Linked DNA regions of Tribolium castaneum. The protein of the gene in region 1 binds, or shares a complex with, the protein of each later gene. Links are inferred from orthologs where the notes say so. Each region holds a gene or a part of one and is shown in the gene's direction. Other genes may lie near its edges.

The links.
Region 2: MED16 (region 1) and MED19 share a complex: the UniProt entries of both Drosophila melanogaster proteins name them as parts of the mediator complex. The link is inferred for Tribolium castaneum from reciprocal best matches to the Drosophila melanogaster genes MED16 and MED19.
Region 3: MED16 (region 1) and MED18 share a complex: the UniProt entries of both Drosophila melanogaster proteins name them as parts of the mediator complex. The link is inferred for Tribolium castaneum from reciprocal best matches to the Drosophila melanogaster genes MED16 and MED18.
Region 4: MED16 (region 1) and MED4 share a complex: the UniProt entries of both Drosophila melanogaster proteins name them as parts of the mediator complex. The link is inferred for Tribolium castaneum from reciprocal best matches to the Drosophila melanogaster genes MED16 and MED4.
Region 5: MED16 (region 1) and MED31 share a complex: the UniProt entries of both Drosophila melanogaster proteins name them as parts of the mediator complex. The link is inferred for Tribolium castaneum from reciprocal best matches to the Drosophila melanogaster genes MED16 and MED31.
Region 6: MED16 (region 1) and MED9 share a complex: the UniProt entries of both Drosophila melanogaster proteins name them as parts of the mediator complex. The link is inferred for Tribolium castaneum from reciprocal best matches to the Drosophila melanogaster genes MED16 and MED9.
Region 7: MED16 (region 1) and MED1 share a complex: the UniProt entries of both Drosophila melanogaster proteins name them as parts of the mediator complex. The link is inferred for Tribolium castaneum from reciprocal best matches to the Drosophila melanogaster genes MED16 and MED1.

The regions. Positions count from the first base shown.
Region 1 is NC_087396.1:16,567,347-16,571,400, reverse strand, and holds the start of MED16 (mediator of RNA polymerase II transcription subunit 16), read left to right. Parts: upstream 1-1,254; 5' UTR 1,255-1,371; coding exon 1,372-1,445; intron 1,446-1,493; coding exon 1,494-1,637; intron 1,638-1,682; coding exon 1,683-2,131; intron 2,132-2,180; coding exon 2,181-2,333; intron 2,334-2,378; coding exon 2,379-2,575; intron 2,576-2,625; coding exon 2,626-3,167; intron 3,168-4,054. Other genes in the region: tyrosine-protein kinase Src42A, read left to right, coding at 1-92. UniProt on the Drosophila melanogaster protein: Component of the Mediator complex, a coactivator involved in the regulated transcription of nearly all RNA polymerase II-dependent genes.
Region 2 is NC_087395.1:19,591,557-19,594,463, reverse strand, and holds MED19 (mediator of RNA polymerase II transcription subunit 19), read left to right. Parts: upstream 1-1,418; 5' UTR 1,419-1,491; coding exon 1,492-1,672; intron 1,673-1,724; coding exon 1,725-1,981; intron 1,982-2,032; coding exon 2,033-2,308; 3' UTR 2,309-2,407; downstream 2,408-2,907. Other genes in the region: Ctl1 (choline transporter-like 1), read right to left, coding at 157-386, 435-601, 652-1,034, 1,082-1,189; RNA-binding protein cabeza, read left to right, coding at 2,829-2,838. UniProt on the Drosophila melanogaster protein: Component of the Mediator complex, a coactivator involved in the regulated transcription of nearly all RNA polymerase II-dependent genes.
Region 3 is NC_087394.1:9,286,381-9,289,130, forward strand, and holds MED18 (mediator of RNA polymerase II transcription subunit 18), read left to right. Parts: upstream 1-1,337; 5' UTR 1,338-1,495; intron 1,496-1,546; 5' UTR 1,547-1,548; coding exon 1,549-2,217; 3' UTR 2,218-2,250; downstream 2,251-2,750. UniProt on the Drosophila melanogaster protein: Component of the Mediator complex, a coactivator involved in the regulated transcription of nearly all RNA polymerase II-dependent genes.
Region 4 is NC_087397.1:1,784,347-1,787,214, reverse strand, and holds MED4 (mediator of RNA polymerase II transcription subunit 4), read left to right. Parts: upstream 1-1,172; 5' UTR 1,173-1,294; coding exon 1,295-1,362; intron 1,363-1,412; coding exon 1,413-2,106; 3' UTR 2,107-2,368; downstream 2,369-2,868. Other genes in the region: uncharacterized protein LOC661495, read left to right, coding at 1-100, 148-791, 841-1,073. UniProt on the Drosophila melanogaster protein: Component of the Mediator complex, a coactivator involved in the regulated transcription of nearly all RNA polymerase II-dependent genes.
Region 5 is NC_087401.1:17,495,425-17,498,122, forward strand, and holds MED31 (mediator of RNA polymerase II transcription subunit 31), read left to right. Parts: upstream 1-1,152; 5' UTR 1,153-1,591; coding exon 1,592-1,604; intron 1,605-1,647; coding exon 1,648-1,755; intron 1,756-1,812; coding exon 1,813-2,141; 3' UTR 2,142-2,198; downstream 2,199-2,698. Other genes in the region: uncharacterized protein LOC656943, read right to left, coding at 1-60, 113-321. UniProt on the Drosophila melanogaster protein: Component of the Mediator complex, a coactivator involved in the regulated transcription of nearly all RNA polymerase II-dependent genes.
Region 6 is NC_087395.1:15,956,684-15,960,864, reverse strand, and holds the start of MED9 (mediator of RNA polymerase II transcription subunit 9), read left to right. Parts: upstream 1-1,381; 5' UTR 1,382-1,422; coding exon 1,423-1,523; intron 1,524-1,579; coding exon 1,580-1,685; intron 1,686-4,151; coding exon 4,152-4,181. Other genes in the region: Mrgn1 (E3 ubiquitin-protein ligase MGRN1), read right to left, coding at 228-379, 428-615, 663-922, 971-1,103, 1,149-1,231. UniProt on the Drosophila melanogaster protein: Component of the Mediator complex, a coactivator involved in the regulated transcription of nearly all RNA polymerase II-dependent genes.
Region 7 is NC_087399.1:8,918,250-8,922,264, reverse strand, and holds the start of MED1 (mediator of RNA polymerase II transcription subunit 1), read left to right. Parts: upstream 1-1,215; 5' UTR 1,216-1,357; coding exon 1,358-1,376; intron 1,377-1,439; coding exon 1,440-1,579; intron 1,580-1,628; coding exon 1,629-2,344; intron 2,345-2,395; coding exon 2,396-2,627; intron 2,628-4,015. UniProt on the Drosophila melanogaster protein: Component of the Mediator complex, a coactivator involved in the regulated transcription of nearly all RNA polymerase II-dependent genes.

The DNA.
Region 1 (4,054 bases):
TGAAAAGGCCGACGTTTGAGACGTTACAGTGGAAATTAGAAGACTTTTTCACCATGGAAGGTTCAGAATACAAAGAAGCGTCGGCTTACTGAGGTCACGCCCACCCCCCTGCTGACTGGCTGCGTAATTCGATTGACTTACACTACCATTAGTGGGGAGGTGGATATCTATTTCTATGTAACAATAGATAGATATGCCCGTACTCTTATTTCTTGTCGTGACTATGCTTGTGTTTGAAATAATGGTTTGTGAAGTTTTATCAGATTTTTACACGTCGACTAGGTATCACAAACCACTATTTTGCGATTTTAATTTTAAACTTTGCTTCCTTTTATACATCGTGAATGGGGCTCTTCGCTCTGGCTCATCTATTTTTAAATATTCTTTATATAATAATTTATTTTAAGATTTTATGTAATTTTATAGTGAAATTCGACAACGTTAAATTTTCCCCGATTGAAACTTTTAAACGCACAATTCGTGTCTACCAATAAGAATGAAACGATGTGTAATTGTTGCTTGTGCATATTACCTAATTCCCCTAAGTACTTACGCTTTTGCATTTATTTTTTAAAAACGAATAACATTCCTCTCAAGTGACACTATCCGATATCTCTAGCGTTATTTCCCAGATGCCCTACAGTTATTAAAAATCGGTACTAATTTATGAAAGGCGTTGTTTCTTGGTTGTTTTAGTCACAACTTATGTCTTCATTATTTTAAGATTGTTATTAAAGGCATTGTTTATACAGTTATAGGCCATTATGAAAATATTTTTTGTATTATACACTTAGAATATACAATAAAAGTCCTTTACAATTTTCGTTGCAATTTATTCAAACCACCTCCACGAAATAGAGTTTGCTAAATTCTTATAGCACCCACTGGGGCATGACTACTTTAAAAAAAGGTTACTAAATCAGGGGTTTTTAAAGCAGTCGCATGTGGACTTGCTTTACTATTGCAAGGTTTGAAAAGGAACTGAAATAAGACATCCAGTATTTAAACACCAATATCCAATTAAACTCCGCCCAGGTGGGTACTTCTCGTATTTGGATACTTTTATGTTGTCCCTCGTAACGTTGGCAATGTTTCGCGCGCAACCAGTATTGCATCTCCCGAGAATGTACACTCATGAGAATTCTCTACTAATCGCTAACCTTTTATTTTTTTTTCTATCCATCAAACCTAAACTCAGAGCTTACACAATTCGAACAACACTTCGTAATTTACTTTTGTGAGCAATTTTATGAGAATAGAAGATTTCTCGTCAGCGTACATTCACGCGTATGCCCGACAGCTGTCAGGTGTCAAAAATCTGCCAATTCAGTAAAGTTTTAAAAAGATGCTTCATTAGATAAATACCGAAAAATGGACCATATTTTCACCATTAATAAGAAAATAAATAAATCGGTGGACACCAGCAAGCATCTATCATTCACCAAGTACCGCCCAAACGAAAGTTAACCATTTACCAACCGTTTGAATTCCAGACTCGAGAAGTCAACCTTATGCTCGATTTCAAGCTCCAACGTTGTTGCTTTCAGCACGGAATGCAATATCGAAGAAGCGGGTTCCCTCTTTTGGAACTCTAATGTCTACGTCTGCGATTTAAACAGTCCCTGGCAGGTCCACAAGTACGTCCCCAAAAACACTTTCCTGTATTAAACCTCCATTTCCAGAATATTATCAAACTCTTCCCCCATTTCGGTGCTCCAGTGGGACTTTACGGGCGACCTTCTGCTAGTCGCGGACGAAAACGGCTCGATAAAAATTTACAAAGCTAAAGACCACATCCTAAATGACTGGACCCTTGTCCTCCAGACTGTCCTAGAAGGGGAGCACATTCTGTCAGCGGCGTTTTTCCACTCGGGCAAGAAAATCTGCCTCAACTCTGAGAAAAAAGACAGCGCTTTGTACACGGAAAAGTTTCACCATGTCAAGTTTGCCTGCTCTGTTAAACAGTTTGGGGGGCGCCCTGCCAGTGGGGCCCTGCTACTCACAACGACGGGAATGTTGTGCTCGATTTTACTCCCCCAAAGCACGAGCCAGGTCGCAATGGTCATGGCGACAGAAAGCCTGGCCCCTACTAGGATTTTTATCAAAGCTGCTGATATTTGCTATGGCAAAAGTAGGTTTTTTACAAAATCATTTAAACACCAAATAATGTTATTGTGTAGACGGTCATTTTTTGCTCGCTGTGAGTAACGGAGACTTATCAATGCCTATTCAGTGTTATAAAGTCTCTGTCAGGAAAGCTGAAGATAAGTGTGTCATCACAAGCCAGTCTTTACTCAGTTTTTTTCTATTTGAGGCGCCTAAGGAAGCATTAAGTAACAAACTGAGTCATTTAAGCCGTTGTTTAACGTTTGTTTTAGTGGAACAAGTTTCCAAAGAAAAAAATTGCCACATAAGTCATATCAAATGGATAATGAGAGAGGACGCAGATTCGGTGGTTGTTTCAGCCACTAGTGATAAAATAAGCTGTTTGCAAGTGTGGGAATTGAGAGAGAAGGCTTTGCCGGTTCACAAATCACTAGGAAAATCTGAAACTCCCCAGTTTTTTAACACTGTCGTACGTCTATTATCTCATCATGTGATAATCGATACTTACTTATTTTTTAGTTGTGGCAATACCAGTGCCACTTCCAGTATAACAGCAAGGTCACTTCACTAGCTACAAGTAAACTAAGTCTATTAAATAATGTTTCAAGTGGTTATGTCGTGGCCACATTTGCCGACAATTCCATCCATTGCCTCTACAGAGACACTCTAAAACATTTGGTCAGCACCACTTTGACCATTTGTCCGCGTTATTTTGACGAACCTCTCGCCAGATACCCCAAAACTAGCATCAAAATCTCAAACATTGACATGTCCTGGCTCGGCAATATTTTACTCGTGATTGATTCAGACGATAGTCTGCATATGTTTAAGTTACCGCCCCAAATCGACAGCTCAACGCCTCTAAGTGTACCTTACTGTACCACGATTTTAGAGTATTGCATGATGAGCGGTTTTGATTGGTTAGACTTGTTGCTAGTGTTAAGACCTGGAATGTTGGACGCGATATGTGACCGACTCACCGAAAGTTTTAATCGCCAGCCCTCGGCAGTGCAACAGTTTTTCTACGTGCAGTATTTGTGCATGAAAATATCGCTATGCAGGTAGGTTCCTAGTTTACCGACATTGGGTGACAAAATTTTATTATTTAATTATTGTTTTAAATAGAAAGCTTATGATTTTACTGTATTTTTGTATTATGCGAGATATTTTAAGGAGTTTTTACCAGTTTTTTTATAGCAAAGTTAACAGTTTTTGTAATATTTATATTTTTTTGATTTGCACCTTCTTTTTCAAAAATCGAAGTTCCTGTAGAGTATTTCAAAGAAAATGATTAGATTTTTTTCAAATTTTAAATTCCGTAAAGAGTGACAAACTCTAAATTTGAAAGATTACGTTTGAAGAAATTCAACTACTTAAAACACAATTTTGCCAAATTGATTCTTTCTTTACTAAATGAAGAAAAAAACTACCAGTAATTTTGCATCGAGCCAACTATAACCACCATAATATTTTTCAAGTTATTTATAAAGCTTAGGGTTACATTAAAAAAAATGAGATGTTCCCAAACGTAACTTTAAAATGTTTTTTTTAACTTTTTTGAAAACACCAATAAGGGAATAAAGCTTTCTCTTCTAAATGCCCAAATACGATTTCGAAATATTATAAATGACAATGTTGTCGATTTTTGAAAGGGAAGGTGCAAATCTAAACAGTTTTAAAAAAATATAAATACATATCTAGAAAACAAAAGGAAACATAAACACAAAATATTTGAGAAAAATTTGAGTAGCCAAAAAAAAGCAATAAAGAATATAGCTTTTCACTAAAAAAAATGTTTCCAATTTCTGTATAAGCGGAAGTGCCACCACCTTGAAAATATTTTGATACCTGACTAAACAAATTTTTTGATGAATATTGTTATTGGAACCGGAAACACTTTTAATGTGTGCTTTAGGCGCAACACCTCGAATTTTGCGAGTAAAATTCA
Region 2 (2,907 bases), on another chromosome or scaffold:
ACATTTTAAACTATATGGGTCGGTTTGCAGGCTGATTCTCGATTTCGTTAGAAAAGTATGTATTCCACTACTTTACGGACTATTTTGAGTTATTTTACAGGCTATTTCGTTCACTATATGAACGACATCCCGATAAGTTTTAATTATTTCTCTTACTGTGATAACGGTGGCGATGATTGAGTACCACAAAAAGGCCGTTTCGTTGCGAATTGACTCCATCAAAAGCATGTGTTTGTTCGTCTTATCCAAATCATACTTAATATCAAAATAAGTGTACCACAAAAACGCTGTGCCCAAGATGCTCGCAATTGTGAACAAAATCATGATTATGTACGACACTAAATGGGCCAGTAGATGCAGTATTGAGATAGTTAACAGCGAAAAAACTGAAAATCAAACTGTACAAATTTTCCTGTGACTATCCAAAGGCTCACATAGTGATAAAAACGTTAAATAAAGGATTTCCTTCCAGGTGCTGTATATGTCGCCCAAAATTTGCTCAAGTGTGTCCCAACTGTTCAAAGCTTCGTAAAAATTGCTCAAAATTGCTTCGCCTGCATCTTGGAATGATTTAGGAACGCAACGGTTGAGAACTGGGGTGCTTTAGAAAACCAGTTTTATCTTTATAGAACACAAGTTTAGGGGAAATACCTTTCGTAAATAGGAAGTGCCGGACACGGCCCTAAATAGCTACTCAGAATCTCCTTATTCGCAATACTCTTGTTCTTAAAATCGTCATAATTAAAATCATATCTACACAAACTGACGCCAGTTTTTTGGTAATATTTCTGGATATCTTCAACTTTTTTTAACGTCTCCGTGGGACACTGTTTTACGCATATCTTCAGCGACTGTTTCAGCTCTTTAATATCGTAGAAGAGCAAAAATTGTTTGTCTGAAGTGTCCAGTCCTGATACTTCCAAATTGGACATTTTTCTGTTATTTTTTGTCCCGCAAATGTTCCCAAATGAGTCATAGCCGTTTATAATTCTGATGGGATTGCCGTAGACAAAGGAGAACGCCGCAATTAAAACCTAAAAATATTAATGAGGCAAATTACACACCAATCAAGGTTATTTACCATTAGTAACCAAAACGCAATGTACAAACACAACCAAAACACGTCGGTGCACCCTCTCTGAGCGGGTTCTTCCCGCTCGGGCTCCTTTTTCGACTCGCAACAACCCATTTTCGTTAACTCAAACCACTTTTTTCACAAAAGACGCATGTTTTCACTGAGAAAACCAGCAATGTTTTGGGGGCGGCGGCTTCGACGCGGTATCTTAGCAACAGTAACAATTGCACAATCTCGCCAACCAAACTAAACCTAAAGTTACCAAACTAGCAGGGTTCCAAACGCCAGACCGTGAAAATTACCAGGGTAACAATTGATTTGTTTGTTTGTTTGACGATTTTGTGTTGGTACGTGATGCTGAAGTGACATTTCCCATTTCCAGCTGCATCGTTGTTGCAAAACGATGAAGTTGTAAGATGATGGGCGATCAGTTTCGTAAAGTGGAACAATATTCGCCCAAATCTTCGCCTAGAGGGGCTCGTTCCCCTGTCGTTTCACGTCAGGATTCGTCAGGAACATTAAAAACGACAATTTTGTTAGGAAAGAACCCTTCAATTGTCCCTAGTGGACCTTTCTATTTGATGAAAGAGCCTCCAGGTAAGCAAGACAAGGCTTGAAGTCGTTTAAATCACGCGGACGGTGGTTGTAGGAGAGTCGGAACTAACAGGAGCGACGAATTTGATGGCCTATTATGGCCTTGAGCACTCTTACAGCAAATTCAGTGGGAAAAAACTCAAGGAACAGTTATCTTCGTTTTTGCCAACTTTGCCTGGCGTTATTGACTCTCCTGGACAGCATGATAACAGTTCGCTAAGATCAGTGATTGAGAAGCCTCCAATTGGGGGCAAGGAGTTGTTACCATTGACTAGCATCCAACTGGATGGGTTTAGACTACACCCTGGGGCGGTAAGCTTGATAATTTCCCTTTAATGTGTTTTGTTGAGTATTGGATTTTAGCTCCCTGAACAATACCGCTACGCAAATGCGGCGCCTATGAAAAAGCATAAAAATAAACACAAAAAACACAAACACAAAGATGGGGGGCTTCCAAGTCAGGAGACTACCATTACCGATGCTGGAAGTGATACACACGAGAAGAAGCATAAAAAACAGAAACGACACGACGAAGATAAAGAACGGAAGAAGAGGAAAAAGGAAAAGAAGAGAAAAAAGCAGAAACACAGTCCTGAACACAGTGGGGGCCTAACGCCCAGCCAACACTCAAATTCGTGAAGATCTTTGGATTGTGAATAATTCCAACTTACCCTAGGTTTAAGATCTATTATTATTTATTGTTTATTATTTTTGAAAATAAACAGACTGTTATTTTTATTAAGTTTTTACTGGTCGTTTTAGCAAAGCTAGCACCACTAGATTAATTAAATTCATGATTATCAAAAAATAATAAATTTGAGGGCCTACAAATGCCCTTAGGCCGACCCTGAACTCTGATAAGGTTTTCAGTGCTGCCACAACAAGTTCTCCAGCTGTGTTTCATACAAACTTATTATTACAATTTATATCCATCACAAATGTTGTTTTTAAGTACCTCGACGGTATTCAAGTGGAACTGAGAATATAAAACAAGGTTGTTTGTGGAAAATTTAATATTTTGGCGTGCTTTATTTAGTGTGTTTTTTTGGTGGGGTTGGCAGGGCTGTTAGCGCCGACCAATCACAAGCCCCCAATCCGTAGCGTCTTTTCCCTCGCATCCATTTTCCTCCTGTTTGTTCGATTATCCCAACGGTAGAAGATGGGCGATCGTAAGTATCCCGATTTTTAAAAAATCTCGCTCATCCCTGTACGAAATCACCTCGTGTATTCAAATTTCG
Region 3 (2,750 bases), on another chromosome or scaffold:
CTTTTATTTGTGCAAACGAGCCGGTGATGTGAAATTTTGGTGTGAAAATTAGTGGTATCGCCACAAATTGTGTTAAATTTAAGTCTCCAGAAAATTCGGTTTTAAAAGTAGGGTTATGTTATCATTTGGAAATGTCAAATCATTCATTTTTTGGATTTTAGTGTCCGTTTCTGCTCTTTTAGAGCGTTTATAACTATTATTCAATATGTTATAGGCAGATAAATCTACCTTTGAGTCAACGACATAAACTTCAGTGTGATTTATTGAAATGTATATAGGGCAAGAATGAACTTTTCGTGTTAAACATTTTGATGAAAAAGGACGTTTAATCGTTTATAAAAGGCATGTATAGGTGTGTTAAGTTTGCCATATAATAAAACATAAAATACAACAACTTTTCTATAAAAGCATTTTGCAGAACTCTTATTTATTATTTTCACTATTTTCCTCCTTTTATTTGTGCAAACGAGCCGTTGATGTGAAATTTTGGTGTGAAAATTACTGGTATCGCCACAAATTGTGTTAAATTTAAGTCTCCAGAAAATTCGGTTTTAAAAGTAGGGTTATGTTATCATTTGGAAATGTCAAATCTTTCATTTTTATGGATTTTGTGTCTGTTTCTGCTCTTTTAGAGCGTTATTAATTACTATTGAATATGTTATGGACAGATAAATTTACCTTTGAGTCAACGACATAAACTTCAGTATGATTTATTGAAATGTATAAAGGGCAAAAATGAACTTTACGTCTTAAACATTTTGATGAAAAAGGGCGTTTAATCGTTTATAAAGGGCATGTTAAGGTGTGTTAAGTTTACCACGTAATAAAACATAAAGTACAACAACTTTTCTATAAAAGCATTTTGCAAAATTCTTATTCGTTATTTTTACTATTTTCCTCATTTCCTGTAATAACTGATTCGCCCTTCGGAGGCCATTCTGAATACTGTAATGAATTTTTAAAGATAAAATTTGCGAAATCGGAAAATTTTAAAGAATCTTTAAAAATTCATTAAGGTCCCAAGGGGTGTTTGTCCGAACATGATTTTTAACAGTCAAAGGCCCTATCGAAGAGCTTAATCTCCTGCAAAAATAAAGAAAATTGCATATAAAGGGGGTGAAAAAAAATCAGTTTGCATTGCTTGAATATGAGAATAAAAAATGCAGAAATTAAATACAGTTAAGTTTTAATTTGTAATAGAAACTCATTACAATGGTCAGGAGATGTTCTACAAATGTGTTATGCAAGTCAGCGTAACAACTTATTGATGTTTTTATAATGAATTACGATTATTTTGATAATTTTCCTGGTGTGAACTTGGCTGTAGAAAACGAGAATGGTGGGGAAACGGTGCTAGCTCCATGCGCGCAGCCCTTGTCTGGTCGACTGTAATTTTCATGGTGCCACCACCATTTTTGGGGCTGTCTCCGCCGACATACACTGACAACTTACACTTCAATCAAAACATAACCTCCAAAAACTGTGATAATCTTCAGTAATTGTCGGAAATAGGCCGTTTTCCGCAAAGTGATTGTCACTGTTACAGAAATGGGGACTCCTGGCACGGCCATCGACTCCCTAAACGCCGCCCTCAAATGCAACATAATCCCCAACCAGGAGTACCTCCTCCAGGGCTCAGTCTTGGACCAATACGTCGAGGTGCTCCTCCACCGCTTGCGCGGGCTGTGCGACAACGTAGACAGCGGCCCTGAGTCGTTCCACGACCACGAATTGTGTTTCACCCTCCGGGCCACCAACCCAGGGGCCCCCATGGTGCTCCCACTGCGAGTCCGGCGAGCCCTCGACGTGCCCGACGCCGCCTGGCAGCTGCGCTACGTGGGGCAACAGGAGCTAGGCGACAAGAACCGGCCAACAGTCGTCAGATCGAGTATTGACATGGCTTGCAGTTCCACAATTGTTGAATTTTTGACCGAGCTTGGATGCAGAGTGGATTTTGAGTACATCGCCCGGGGGTACATGTTCCGCAAAGGCAGGATGAAAATCACAGTGTCGAAGATTTTCAAAATGGGGAGCATGACGAGTAAGCCGGGCGAAGGCGTAGAAGCGATTTCCCAGAGTTATTTAGTTGAATTGTCCGTTTTGGCCCCGAGTGGACAAGATGCTATTGCGGAGGATATGAGAATTTTTGCCGAGCAGTTGAGGCCGTTGGTTCAGCTTGAAAAAATCGATTATAAAAGACTTGGAAATTTACCGTAATTTATTTATAAATAAAATACAATTAAGATTTAACTAACAACAATCTATATAGCCTTGAAAAATCCTTAAAAAATATTGCCAAACCTTTCCCTAAAACCCTGAATATGTCTTTTTATACTTTTTTAAATAAAAAAGTTAGGGGGTGTCTACTAAAGTGATGACACCTGGTATTTTAACTACTTTCCCAAACTTTGACTGATATCTTAAAAACTAACAGCAATCTACACAGCCTTGAAAAATCCTTAATAAAATATTGCTTAACCATTCCCTAAAACCCTGAATATGTCTTTTTATACTTTTTTAAATAAAAAAGTTAGGGGGTGTCTACCAAAGTGATGACACCTGGTATTTTAACTACTTTCCCAAACATTGACTGATATCTTAAAAACTAACAGCAATCTACACAGCCTTGAAAAATCCTTAAAAAAATATTGCTAAACCTTTCCCTAAAACCCTGAATATGTCTTTTTATACTTTTTTAAATAAAAAAGTTAGGGGGTGTCTACCAAAGTGATGACACCTGGTATTTTAAC
Region 4 (2,868 bases), on another chromosome or scaffold:
CGCATAAAAAACACGAAACTCCGCCTGTGGCAAGTGACGAGGCGAATAAACAGGCAAAAAAGAGGGACAAAAAGCCAACAAATGAGGAAGAAACCGACAGGTATGATTGTTGGTGGTTTTAAGGGAAAATACTAGTTGTGTTTAAAGGAAACGCAAGCGGAGTCCTGTGCCTGAAAATCGGGACAGGCGGGAGAGGGACGATAAGAGGGTCCGGGACGATCGGGGGCGGCATGACGACAGGAGAAACCGCCCCAATGACCACCGTTCTCACGATAACAGGTTCAGAAACCGGCGTCCTGATTACAGAGACAGGGAACGGGATTACAGGAACCGACGGGACGATAACAAAAATTACCACAACCGGGAGCGAAACAGAGAGAACCATCCAAGGCGGCGTAGCAGAAGCGCCTCCTTTGACCACTCGAACGCCCGTTGGGGCCGCGAGTCGGACGACAAAAAATCCGACAAGAAGGAAAAAGACCAGAAGGAAAAGCAAAAACCGAATTTCGGTCTTTCGGGAAAACTTACCGAAGAAACTAACACTTATCGTGGCGTTGTTATAAAATATAGCGAGCCGCCTGAGGCTTGCAAGCCGAAACGTCGGTGGCGGTTGTACCCTTTTAAGGGCGAAAAGGCCCTTCAGACTTTATACATACATCGCGAAAGCGCCTACTTGATTGGGCGCGATCGCAAAGTTGTTGATCTCCCTGTAGATCACCCTTCGTGCTCAAAACAACACGCAGCTTTGCAGTATCGCCTAGTCCCTTTCACGCGTGAGGATGGCACCACTGGTTTGTGGGACAGCTGGTAGTGTGTTGGGTTTTTCATTGTTTTTTTCAGGGAAGAGAATAAGGCCGTATTTGATTGATTTGAACTCGGCTAATGGGACTTTTATCAATAATAAGAAGATAGAGCCGAGTAAATATGTGGAGTTGTTGGAGAAAGACGTGATCAAGTTTGGGTTCAGCTCAAGGGAGTACGTTTTATTGCATGAGAATAGTAAAGATGAGACACAGGATGACGATGTGAAGCAGGAAGAGCCGGCGGTTCAAGTCAAGAGTGAAGAGAATTGAATTTTGTGTATATATTTTAATTTAGCTTAGGTTTCTTTCAATAAAGTAATTTTTTCGATTAAAATTCCCGCTCTTACGATTTAGTTATTCTCTGGGCAGATGGCATCGCAGTGTGCGCGTTATTTTGACATTTGTGTATTTGAGGTTGTGTTCGAAATAAAAACTGTTCAATTGATTATTTCGTTTAATATTTAAACCCGTGAGTGTTTTTCCCCATCATTATGTCGTCTCAAATGAGCACGAAGGAAAAACTCCTTTACATCCTCGACGATATTGAGTTAATCTCCAAGTACGTCCCCCTTTCGGGTCATTTCGTATGGTTTTATTTGCGTTTTTTAGAGAAATAATCGAGAATTCAATCGCCCCCAAGCACCTCAAGCTTTCCGGCCCTGAATACGCTCAACTGACCGAGCTTTTGGTGGCCAAAAACACCGAACTGACTGAAACCCTTAAACTGGCCGCTGAACAGGCGCAAATCGACAAAAAAATGGACATCTTGAAGGCCGAAGTGGAGCGTCAGGACAACGACATTAACAACTTGCAAAAACAGCTCAAAGAGGCCGAGCAAATCCTGGCCACTGCGATTTATCAAGCCAACCAGAAACTCCAGTCCATTTCCCGCGCAAATAAACGGCCGGTCTCGTCCGAGGAACTTATCAAATTTGCGCACAGGATTAGCGCGTCTAATGCGATATGTGCCCCCTTGACGTGGCAACAGGGGGACCCGCGCCGGCCGTACCCCACCGATATTGAGATGCGGTTGGGGCTGCTGGGGCGGCTGATGAGCGATCCAATTAACGGGCATTTGTTGCAACAGCAGAACAGTTTGTCAGATTTACATAGACAGGGGCACCCGGGGGAAATACCCGCCGCGCAACAAAATCAATTTGCATGGCATCCCTCGGGGGAGATTCACATGAGTGTGGGGCAAGGGAGTGTCCCGATGGACACGCGGAACCATAAACAGGAGACCGAGGATGTGGAGGTCATGTCCACGGACTCCAGCAGCAGTTCCTCAAGCGATTCTCAGTAGTTTTGTGTTTTTTCCCTGGACTTGATTCATCATATTTATATAAAAAAATTAAGCGAGTTTGTGTGGAGAGTATACCATGAGGGGAAATAAAATGATAAATCAATAGATTGAGGCGGCTATTTGGGGAAAAAGTCTTGTCTGCTTATCTCATCAATCAACTCTTCGTGACAGTTTAGATAAGATCTTTGTTTGCGTCTGACGAATATTGTTTTCTTATGTTTGTTTATAATGGAAGGAAAATAAAACACATTTCATTGTAATACCAACGTCTATTATTTAATTATTCCCTACAAGCTGAAGTGATTCAAATTTATTGTTTGATGAAATGATAATCACAAAAATGAAGCAGTTTCTCATTTTCTGAAATTTCTAAACAACACTCACTTTCTATAAAAACAAGTTTGTTGTTTTGATTGCGTCTTTATGATAGGTACAAATTTACAAGTAGGTTTTTTGATTTAAATTTTTATCGGATATGTGAGTTTTTTATCACAGGGTCGTAGTGTGATAATTTGAAAATTAAACCGCGTTATTACAGCAGAGCTAGGGCTGAAAAACGAGAGAAAGTCACCGAATATTATCGATATTCTTAACAATGACATTATCGTATCACAGTATCGATAATGATAAGTTTCCAACTGTAATCAATTTTTCGAAATACTTTAACAAACGAGTTATTTATTGTCATTATTACGCGATATGGGTATCAATAAATCAATAACATACAGGCGACTCATTTCCAAGGCTTGATCAACTGGTGGT
Region 5 (2,698 bases), on another chromosome or scaffold:
GCAGTAAATCTTATTTAGTAATTTTTCGCCGTCGGGTTGGTCACGCAACTTATCGAAGACCTAGCCAAAAAGGCGTGTGATTTAAATTTTGACAAGTGATAGACATACGTACAGGACAATTGATGATATCTTCAAGTCTTTCGTTAGGTTTTTTCCCTTTTTTTGGACGAACTAACAAATAAATTGTTGATAATTGAGGACATGAGCGTAGTAATTTCTCGATTAGTACTTTCCCCATAAAACCAGTGGCGCCCGTGATGAGGATGTGTCGGTTTTTGTAGAATTCCGCAACCGCTGATTTATTGCTCATTGTTGAGAAACCTCAAAAACGATTAAGAATTGATTTATTTGCGTGTTGTGTAACGTGCACGCCACTGGTGAAAAAGTTAGGTAATAGGACAGTGGCGTACAAGGAAATGTCAAACACGATTTCGGCAAATATTTGATTGTGGACACAGCACTTGTGATAAGTAGCCGCGTAACAATACACGAGTTTTTGCACAATTGCTTTAACAAATAGAAAAAAATTTCAAAATAATGCAGTGAACTTTTTATGAATTTCGTCAATTCTCATTAATACATTAATAAAATAATAAGTAATGTGTTTCCATTAAAATTAGCAATGATAAATTACTGATATTTACTAAATTAAACAGTGAATTAATTATTGCATCAAATTTTTTATAAAACAAATGATCGAAAAATGAAGCAAAATCATATAAAAGGGTGACTTTGTTTTTTATTTTAATTATGATTACCAAGAAACTTTAATTTAATTAAAAATTGTAAAAATCGAAAAGCATTTTTTTAATTAATTCTTTACTTAAAAAGGATTTAATAGTAATAATAACTGATAATAATTAAACCGTAATTACAGTAAATTAAAAAGAAATTATGATTTTTAAACATATTTGAGACTAAAAACGCTAATCAGGCGTTAAATAGCTGATTAAATAATTAGAAAATTGTTAAATTAATTAATGAAATAATTAATGATAAGATAATTCAAAATTACAATAAATGAGCCAAAAAAAACGCGATTAAAGTCCTCACTTTAAATTTTTTATTGATCCCGCAAAAGTGAAAAGAAAAAATCTCGACTTACTGAAAGGCAGCAACAAAACAATAAAATTGTTCACACACAAAGCAGCAATGTTTTGTAGACAAAGCCGCAACCCATCCACCTGTTTTCATACAAATACCATTACCATATACCACCACCATGGGAATTTCCATGAAAATTCCTCGTGTTGGGGATCATTATGTTAGTCAGTTATTTTCTTATTGGTGGTCAATTTCCCGCTCAATTAAATAACTGGGCTACTTTCACCAGCGATTGATTTTTCCACACGCTTCTTACAACATGTACCGTTTCGATCCGATTTCTTATTATTGAGAATTGAATTACGCAAGAATAATACTTTCAATAGAAGAACAAGGGAATTTGCCAAGCCTCTAATGGTCGCTTTTCTATTGTTGTTACTTGTGACATTTTAAGTGCACGCTCTTACAACACGAACTTGCATTTATCCTAATTGATTAATTAAAAAAATTCGAATTCGAATCACGCGCCATTTTATGCACAACAAACATGGCTGGGAAAGGTAAGCGTCCTTTAATTAAATTTAGGTAATAAACAAGTTTTAGGCTGGAATTATATGTCAGGGGCTCCGGAAACCGACGATCAGCAAAGACTCCGCTTCCAGATTGAGCTAGAGTTTGTGCAGTGTCTCGGAAATCCTAATTATCTCAACTGTAATGACGTAACCTCACTTTTTCGGGAGGGAAAAAATACAATTTTTTGCGTTTTAGTTCTCGCACAGCGTGGTTATTTTAAGGATAGTACGTTTGTTAACTATTTGAAGTATTTGCTTTATTGGAAGGAGCCCGAATACGCCAAATATTTGAAATATCCAATGTGTTTGTATTTTTTGGATTTGTTGCAATATGAACACTTCCGGAGGGAATTGGTGAATGCTCAGTGTTCGAAATTTATCGACGATCAACAACTTTTATTGTGGCAACACTACACCAGGCGGAGGAGTCGTTTGTTAACCCCTTCGAATGTTAACGGGACAGGTGAACAAAGTATTAACCAGAATAGCCAAAGTAACGGACATTTGAGCAATAAAATCAGCTAGGTAGGGTACAAATGTGATTTTTTGGTGGTTAAGTGAAATAAATTATTTTTTTGTTTAGTTACATAAATCACCAAGATCCCACCAATTGCACCAAAATCCCACCCATTTCCATCCAAATCACAATTGATTGGCTGTCGCTGTAATTAAGGTAAGTTCCTTGTTTTTCCTTAAAAATCGTAAAAAATGCAAAATTTGTAACAAACCTCAAAACCAAAAGTCCCTGAACCCGCCCCGCCAAATTCAAATACAAGTTCCGTTTCTCGACCCAATTGGACTTAACTGTACACGAAATCCGCTCGACTTTCATACACCAAAAGTGTACTTGGCTTACACGATTTGTTTATTAATAATTGTTGACATGGTTCTATTAACAATCAAATCAATCATTTCGTTTCGATGCGTCCAACAATTAAAATGAATTTTTTCAAAATAATTTTTGTCGTTATTGTGATAATTTTGTGTGCTAGTGATGCGAAAATACGCAAGAAAAATACCAAAGGTTTGATTTTGCGGCAAAAAGAAACGAATGCGATTAATTTTCTCAGGTAAAAAAATAT
Region 6 (4,181 bases), on another chromosome or scaffold:
ATGTTAATTATGACAATTCGTCAGAAAAAAAAGAATACATGTTTTATTCAATAGTAAACTGATTTAGATTCTGGCCTCAGAAGAGGTTTTAAAGTTATGTGTATTATTTATTGTGGCTTAGTGCCAACAAAATTGTCCGTTTGTGAGAGAGTTCCGCTTATAGGTGTCCGTTAAGAGAGATTTCACTGTGTATTTATGCCCAGTAGGGCATGTAAATAATCAATCACCTTGTCGTTATTTTTGTTCTCAATGCCGTATATTTCCTGCAGGAGGTAGCAAAGACCGTCAACGAATAATTTCTGTTTGAGAGCTTTTAAAACATAAGTACCGTCGGACAATTTTTCGGCTGTGGCGATAGTTGTGTGTGATTGTCTCATTTCTGGAACAATCAATTCAAAAATTAAATTCAAAAACGGGTCAAACCAACCCTCAGCGCCTTCCTCCGCCACACAGTGAATGGCAATTGGAATAATCTCCCGGTCAACATCATACAACAACTCCTCTTCTGTGTACTTCGAGGGATCAAAAACGTGAGTCATTTGGCAAAACTGTTGGTTCGCACCGCGTTTGTAATGAAAAGTCTCGGAGGTCGTGTTAGGGTCACGCGGCAAGTACCTTCAAACCCCATAAAATTGCAAACCCATGACAAAAACCCAACTTACGTGACTCCACTTGGTGTAAACTCCTCGGTACAAAAATAGTAGATTGTTATTGCACACCTGACGTCACAATCGAACGTGAACTCGATATTAAACGTCGAGCTCTTGCCCAGCTCAATATCCCTGATGTCCCGCTCGTTCTTTTCCGCCGGTTTGGAATAATCAGCAGGGGCGCGGACAAACCGCAGCGACTCTTTCCGGATGTTCACCAGACTTTTGAGCGTTTTTGTGGGCTCATTAGGCTGGGGCGGGGGGTAGGGAAACTAGAAACGGCACTGTGGGGGCGAAACAACCGCATAATGGCTACTTACAGGGGTTGGTCTACTGCCCAGGAAATTCAAATCGGAGTTCTCGCCGAAGAGGTAAGACTCGGGCTGGGGGGTGTCGAAGCGCTCGCCCCCCATTATAAAGTGGCTCCCGAAGTAGTTCCCTTCAGAAAAACGCCTTCAAGGTAATTGGTACGGAAAAAAGCAAAGCGACATACCAGACCTGGGCGGGTACTTGTACGCGTGGTTTGACACCACGTCCACTTCCTCGACCCCTGCGTGTTGTCTGCTAGCCAACGAACCCATTCTGCGGGCTTGAAATTGCCAAGTTTTTCCAAAATCAGAAATTATTGTTGTTTTTAGTTTGACATTATTATTGACACTTGTGACATTTGAGGCGTCGTCGCCAACACCAGGGACACAAAATCCCTGAGTGAATGTGTCAGAAAATTCATGTGGGAAAGAAAATTCAATGAAAATTCAGGAAATGCCTTGCTATGATGGAATCTGACGAGCACAACCAGGAGTCAGAGAGGAATGTCACGGTGGAAAATTTGAATATCGAGATCTTGCCCATTATCTACGAAATAATACGCAGGTTTGTTGATAAAATTAGTGACAGGCAAAATCGTAATGTCTTGCATAATCATTCAGTGTTGAGAAAGACCACCACGATAACACCGCCAAGGCACGAGAGTCGCAAGACTGTTCCCAGAAGGTGCTCGAGTTGCAAAAACGTTTGGACCAAGCCAGAGCCGAGGTAACTTTCTTCCACCCTAATCACTTCATACCCATAGTAGGGGATACGAATTAGGATCATACTGTACTATCTTCTGGTTACCGGATGAAAATATCTTTTTATCAGAGATAATATCCAAAGTCCAAAGGATTGTATCGCGAATAGGTTTCCTAAAAAAAATGTTCCAGGCCATGGTAAAGGGGGCTAAAAAGCGTCGAATTTTAGCCTTTTTTCAGTATTTTACAACTGAAGGCTACAGGGGAAAAACAACCTCAGTCCACTTGTTTGAGAAAATGAGGTGGGGTTGTAATATTGTAGTTTTTGAGAAAACAATCAGATAATTGAAGCGGGAAATAGCAAATACGACTTCAGTATTGAGCAAAATATGTTACAAATTACACTATAATGAAAAAAGTTATGGTTCCACGTTAGAAAACTTTAAGGATATAATTATTTTTTAGCTCACTGCAATCAAGAAAATAAAAAAAGTTAAGAGGCTTGTTAAAATTTGAATAACTTTAAACTTAAATGAAATACCGTATTTTTTATTTTTGCATCTAAAAGACCTTTAAATTGTCTATTAAAGAACATTAACAGTTAAGTGCTGATTACTCAAAAGATTATACTTAACTTAAAACATTAAAAAAAGTCATTAAAAATTATTCACAATTGTTTCAATAGTCGAAGAGTAAAATTTTCAGCTAATAATAACTTTATTATTTTTCAGTTATTTTTCACAGTAAAATAACTAAAATTTTCTTATCTATGGCGAATTTTTAAATCCCTGTTTAAACTCCAACAAATGATCCGTGGTGAAGTTGCTAAGGTTATGGTAACAGTAATCCTCATGAATAATCTGCATTGTTGATGAAATTAAATTTTAAAGTCAAATATTTGTTTAATTATAAAGGTTAGGCATTTGAAACTTTGTTTTTAAGTAGACAATTTAATAATCTTTGAAAAATAAAAACAAAAACTTTTATTATGTTATTCAACTTTTAACAAACTTCATAATTTTTCTACGTTCCTAATTGCATGCGTTAACCAATTTAACTTTGAACATTCTTAAAAAAATAAGTTTGTATTGTAGCTAATTTCGGAAATATCCTATACAGGATGATTCAAAAATGTTCGACAAACACTCGTATGGTGATAAAAGACGTTCAGTTAAGCACAAAAATGAAGTCAGATTTTTTTATATATTTTTAAGTTTGTATTCCTTAGCAACGGTATCGATTGTTTCTCTTTTGTTTCCTAATATGTTGAATTTAAGATATTGTCGAATTTACAAGTTTTTTTATTGTTTTGCACATAATTAGACATTATTTGTTAATTTTTTTCAACAGGTATTTGTTTAATGTTGCAAGAGATGTCGTTTCTGCTAATTAAGGTCAAAAAAATATGGTCCGAAGCATCAAAAAATTAACTTAAAAATTTAACTTTGAAGAGCTGTAGCTATCTCGTGAAAAAAGACTCAAACAATTTTTTGTCATAGGAACTTTTAATTCAGTTTGATGTCCTTTATCAGCACCCGAGAGATTGTACGAGTACTTTTGAATTACTCTGTATATTTGAAAGTAGTTTTAGATGAGGCAGGTGATTAGTATCTACAACTTAAGGAAAAATAATAATAATAAAAACCCGTTATATGTACGAATAAACAGGTGGTTTCAAATGAACAGCAAAGTTGCTGTTCTCTGCTCTTCCACTTAAACCTTTCAAACAAGAAGAAATATACAGCAAATGAATAAAGACAAAATAAAAAAAAATTGACATAACAAACCAGTACAAAATAACCAGTAGATTCCCATGACTGTCCTTGTTCGGAAAATTATTTGTCAAATATTGCAGCCTTGAAACTATAAGAAGATTCAATTTCTAGAACTGTCGATGGATGCTATTATAATCTTTAGCTACATTAAAAAAGGGACTTTTAAAAGAGACTTGTGCGACTTACGGTAACATTATGTATGTCACGACGGAAGATTATTTCATCAGTGGGACTTGGAAGTAACTATTTTGTGATATAAATAAAGTCCAAGTTTTGTTAATTTGATTTTTATATAGCATGGTCGCCTCACGTCCACTTTCAATTATTTGATCTTTATTTTTTTAAGTTTTCATTTTTTCTTGTTAATTTTCAATACTTTACACAATCATGCAAAATTCGATTGTCTAATTTCAACACTTTTAAATTTGTGTTTGTTAAATAATATTACATTGTTGAAAATGAACCTAGAATGATTCAAAGTGAAAAAACTTGAAAAACTTTATTTATACTCCTTCCTCAAAAGCCCAAGTATGTTGGAATTTCCTGATGCCATAGGCAAACCGGAGACAAGAATTCTGAACCAATTACTTTTCTAACAATTAAAGATAAATAATGGACTTTACCTACTCGCATTTTTGATAAAATAAGCTTCATCCGTTAAACAGATGAGTGCAGAACGACCGTAATTCGAATCTTAGACTACCAACCCCTTGCAGATCCGGCTATTGCCCGGGATTGAGTACAGC
Region 7 (4,015 bases), on another chromosome or scaffold:
TTTTATAACTCATTAAACTAATGTATTTACGTGATTTCTGGCAATTTTGAGTTATTTAGTTTATGCTTGTATTACAAAGCAACTTGTTAAAAAAAATAACTACTACAATTTTTTTTCTTTTAATTTTATTACACTAAATCTGCCACTAGCTGTTTCAAAACTATAAAAACAACAACGACGCACTTTACCAAATATTTTTTAAATAAGGTTGATAAAATTGTAAAATAGTTATTAATGATTAGATATCTCATTGAAAGTATAAATTACATTAGTTATTATTTTCTTCAACTGCATGAATAATTTATAACAGCACACATCACAGCAAATTTTGTGAGAAAATGTGACGTTGACGTTTTTATAGTTTTGAAACAGCAAATACAATGGTATAAAGGGGACCAAGGTTCTTCTTTAATATCAGACGATACCTAAGGTGACGGGGGCTATTATTAATTTATTACAGAAATAAAATGTAAAACACCCTTCGTGTAAATTATTTTTTGTTGCATTTGGTTTTTGAAAGCTTTTCATTTTATCTGAATCACATGGAGTAAAATAAAGTAGTCAATCTTGCTTGATTTCTTCTAAAACTCCCTCATATCATGTTTTAACGGTTTGGAAACATTTTTTGTAAAAAACATCTATCTAAGAAATTTTGAAATACAGTAAACTAAGCAATTTTATGTGATTTTTGTTGAATGCCTACAAAATAATAAAAAAAAACATTATGTGGTATAAACTAACGCACAACGTATTTGATTTCTTTATAAAAAAAAAAACGAGAATAAACTATTCAAAATTTTGGAAATGTGCCTATGGTGTACTATTATCTTAGTTGTGATGTGTTAGCGGGCATTTGCTCCAGTTCTGGGGGAAGATGAGGAGATTATCGTGTCAGCAACTTCTTGCGATCTAAAAAGTTGAAAAGTTGTAGCGAATTACGGCTTTAATTGTCATTGACGGATCTAATACGAAATTCGTTGGTAAAAAACGCGGATTAATTCCGGGAGTTTGTTTTACGACCACATTTCATTAAAATATTTGCGTTGCAATAAGCACAACATATGTGCCACCAATTCAAAGCACTCCAAAGTATCAAATCTTGATAAAGTTGAGAGTTGGTAAACACAAATGAATGGAAAAGCACTTGAATATTTTTATTGTTATTGTTATTATCAGACACGAGTTTGAATTGGGCGCCGGTGGCGTAGCCAAATATCCCTAAATTGGGGAAAGTAACGAAACTGTCAAGTTTTTGTTTGGTGCTGATGTATGTTCGAAAAATCGGTTTTTTTCCCTTAATTCGCCCCAAATAGAAAATGTTTACGAACATTTAACGTTAATTTCGCCCGAACTCATCATGAATCGCGTAACAAACGGTGGGTTGCGCGCCCCAGCCAAGAGTTTGACTTTTGACATTTACAACTTTGTTTACTTTTAAGGCAATTTAGCGATGCCACCGTCCGTTGTGGACAAATCCAAAGACTGGCAGTTGGAGATATTGATGGAGAAGCTGCGCTCGAAGGCGTCGCAGTACAAAAGCTTGACAGAGATATCCAAAAATGTGCGAATGGCCATGCTTGTAGGTTATGTCATGTCTGGCACTGCCTCCATTGATGCCCTACTTTCAGGACAAGCGCTACGCGTTGGACAGCGTCGAGAAGAGCCAGCACCAGAAATGCCTCGACACTCTGCAGCACTCCATCAAAGTGACGTCCTTGCAGAGCATGATCGAGCGGCTGGAGAGCTTGACGCGGCAGCTGGGGCTCAAGTTCATGGTGGGCCCCTCGGGGGTGGAGCTCTTCATCTCCTCCGACATGTTCTACCTGGAGATAGTGCTCGACCAGACGGGGGCCGTCAAAGACGTGAAAGTGCACCATGACAGTAAATTGGAGCAACAGAGTTGCGCTGAGCTCGTCAATTGTTTATCTAGTGGCGATTTTGCCGATTTCACTGCCCAGTTGGAAGGTTTTGCCTCGATTTACCAGCTCAATGCTGAGAAAAAGGTCAAGTGTAAGGCGTTCACAGCCTTGCAGTCGCTGGAGTCTGATTTGAGCACCTTGGCTCACTTGCAGTCTTTCATGAAGGAACCTTTCAACCTGCTGTATAAGTCTCCGGTTGGGGTGCTGGAGAAGCGCCGAGGGGGACACCCCATGAAACTCACCTATTTTGTCTCTCCTTATGATTTATTAAATGTTGAGAAATGTGATATTGAACCTATTACTGTTGATACGATCGTTAGTAAAGCGCTGGGGTACAGTGTGACGGTGTGTATGGAAGGGTCCGCTACACATAAGTTGCAAACGACCACTCTCATCACAGTTAATAGGAATATTAACGGGAAAAGGTAAAAATTATTAAAAAAAATTTTTTTTTCTTTGAGGGAAATTTATTTTAGTACGCCGTCTTTTTCATCGCTAAGTAGCCAAAATAGTGCAGCAATTCCGGCCTGTTTTGTCCTCAAATTAAACAAACCAATGCCAATGTGTGTCAATTTAGTTAGACAAATTCAACAAGTTACTGAATTGGATACTATAGAACAATCAGCAACTCATCCGTTACTTAGTTTAATAGTACATCACGCCAGTGAAGGGAAAATGGAGTCTGGGAACAATAAGGGCCTTTTTGTGGTAAGTGGTTGGCAATAATATTTATAAAAAAATGGTCATGTTGACTACTGATTCTCCTAGTTTGCGGTACAAACTTTTCGAGAGCCAAAAAATGGTAAATAATCAAAAATAATCTACTTAATGAAGTTCCTCTGACATTAAAAAATTCTAAAATCAGCAATTTTAAACATAAATACAAAATGTTTCTTACAAAATGATTTTTCTTATGTGTTTTTTTGCTCTATAATTTTGTTAAATAGAATTAGATATTTTATTATTATTATATTTTTTATTTTTTTCTTCAATCAAATTGTTTATTTTTTTGTTATTTCTCATTTATTGTCTGGGTCAAAACCTTGATCAGCTTTGCTGTCTTTTGGTCCACTTTGTGGTAGGAACAACTCGTAGAAAATTTTAATTTTGTTATCGTATTTTTTTTCTTGTTGTAATTAATTATATTGTAACTGTTTTACTGCCACAAATAAATTATTATTATTATATTATTATTAAAAAAACAATTAATTTCACGTCAAAAAATAGTTAATTAACCACCTCAATTCTTGATATATAAGCAGCCATTTCATTTTAACGGACGGGACACTATAGATTTTTTACCAATTTTTATCACCAGTATCAGTAGAAGTGAATTTTTCTTTATAGGAACTTAGTACCAGTCAAACAATTTGCAACCTACAATAGTCGGAGCCACATTTGTAAAATTTGAAATATGAGCAGGAAAAAGAATACAAATTGGTGACGGACGGGACACAAAAAAGACCTTACATTTTTATCGCTAAACAATCTTTATAAAATTCTGTTAATTTAAAAGGCACTAATTCTAAGAATTACTTTATAAATAAATGGTAGATTTTGTTGAAACTTTTGAAACCACGATTAATTTACTTTTTGTTTACACATGGCGGATGGGACAAAAAAATCTTGTGTATGAAAATAACTCTAAAAAAATTATTTAGGCAGGTTTTAATTATTAAAGATTTTAACAATATCAAAATTAGACTGGAAATTAGAAACTTATGTCCTGTAATTGTTTTTTTTAATTAATAATTTGAATATTTAATAATATATAAATTAATGCTTAGTCAAGGCATCCCTAATAATTTCTTCGAACCTTCTCCCAAATACAACGCATTCTTTTTCTGGAGTTTGAGGGGGTTTCAAATTTGAAAAAAATCTCAAAAAATTCACACGTTATTCACAACCTATCCTCAGCCTCTCTACTAAAATTTAATTAATTTTAAAAATCTTAAAAATAAATTAGTTTTAGATTCACAAGTTTTAATAATAACACTAAATCTAAATGTGAAAAAAATATGATTTTTTTGTTTTTATTTTTTTTTATCAAATCTTTTCTTTTAAGATTAAGGACCAGTTTCGCATTATAATCCCTT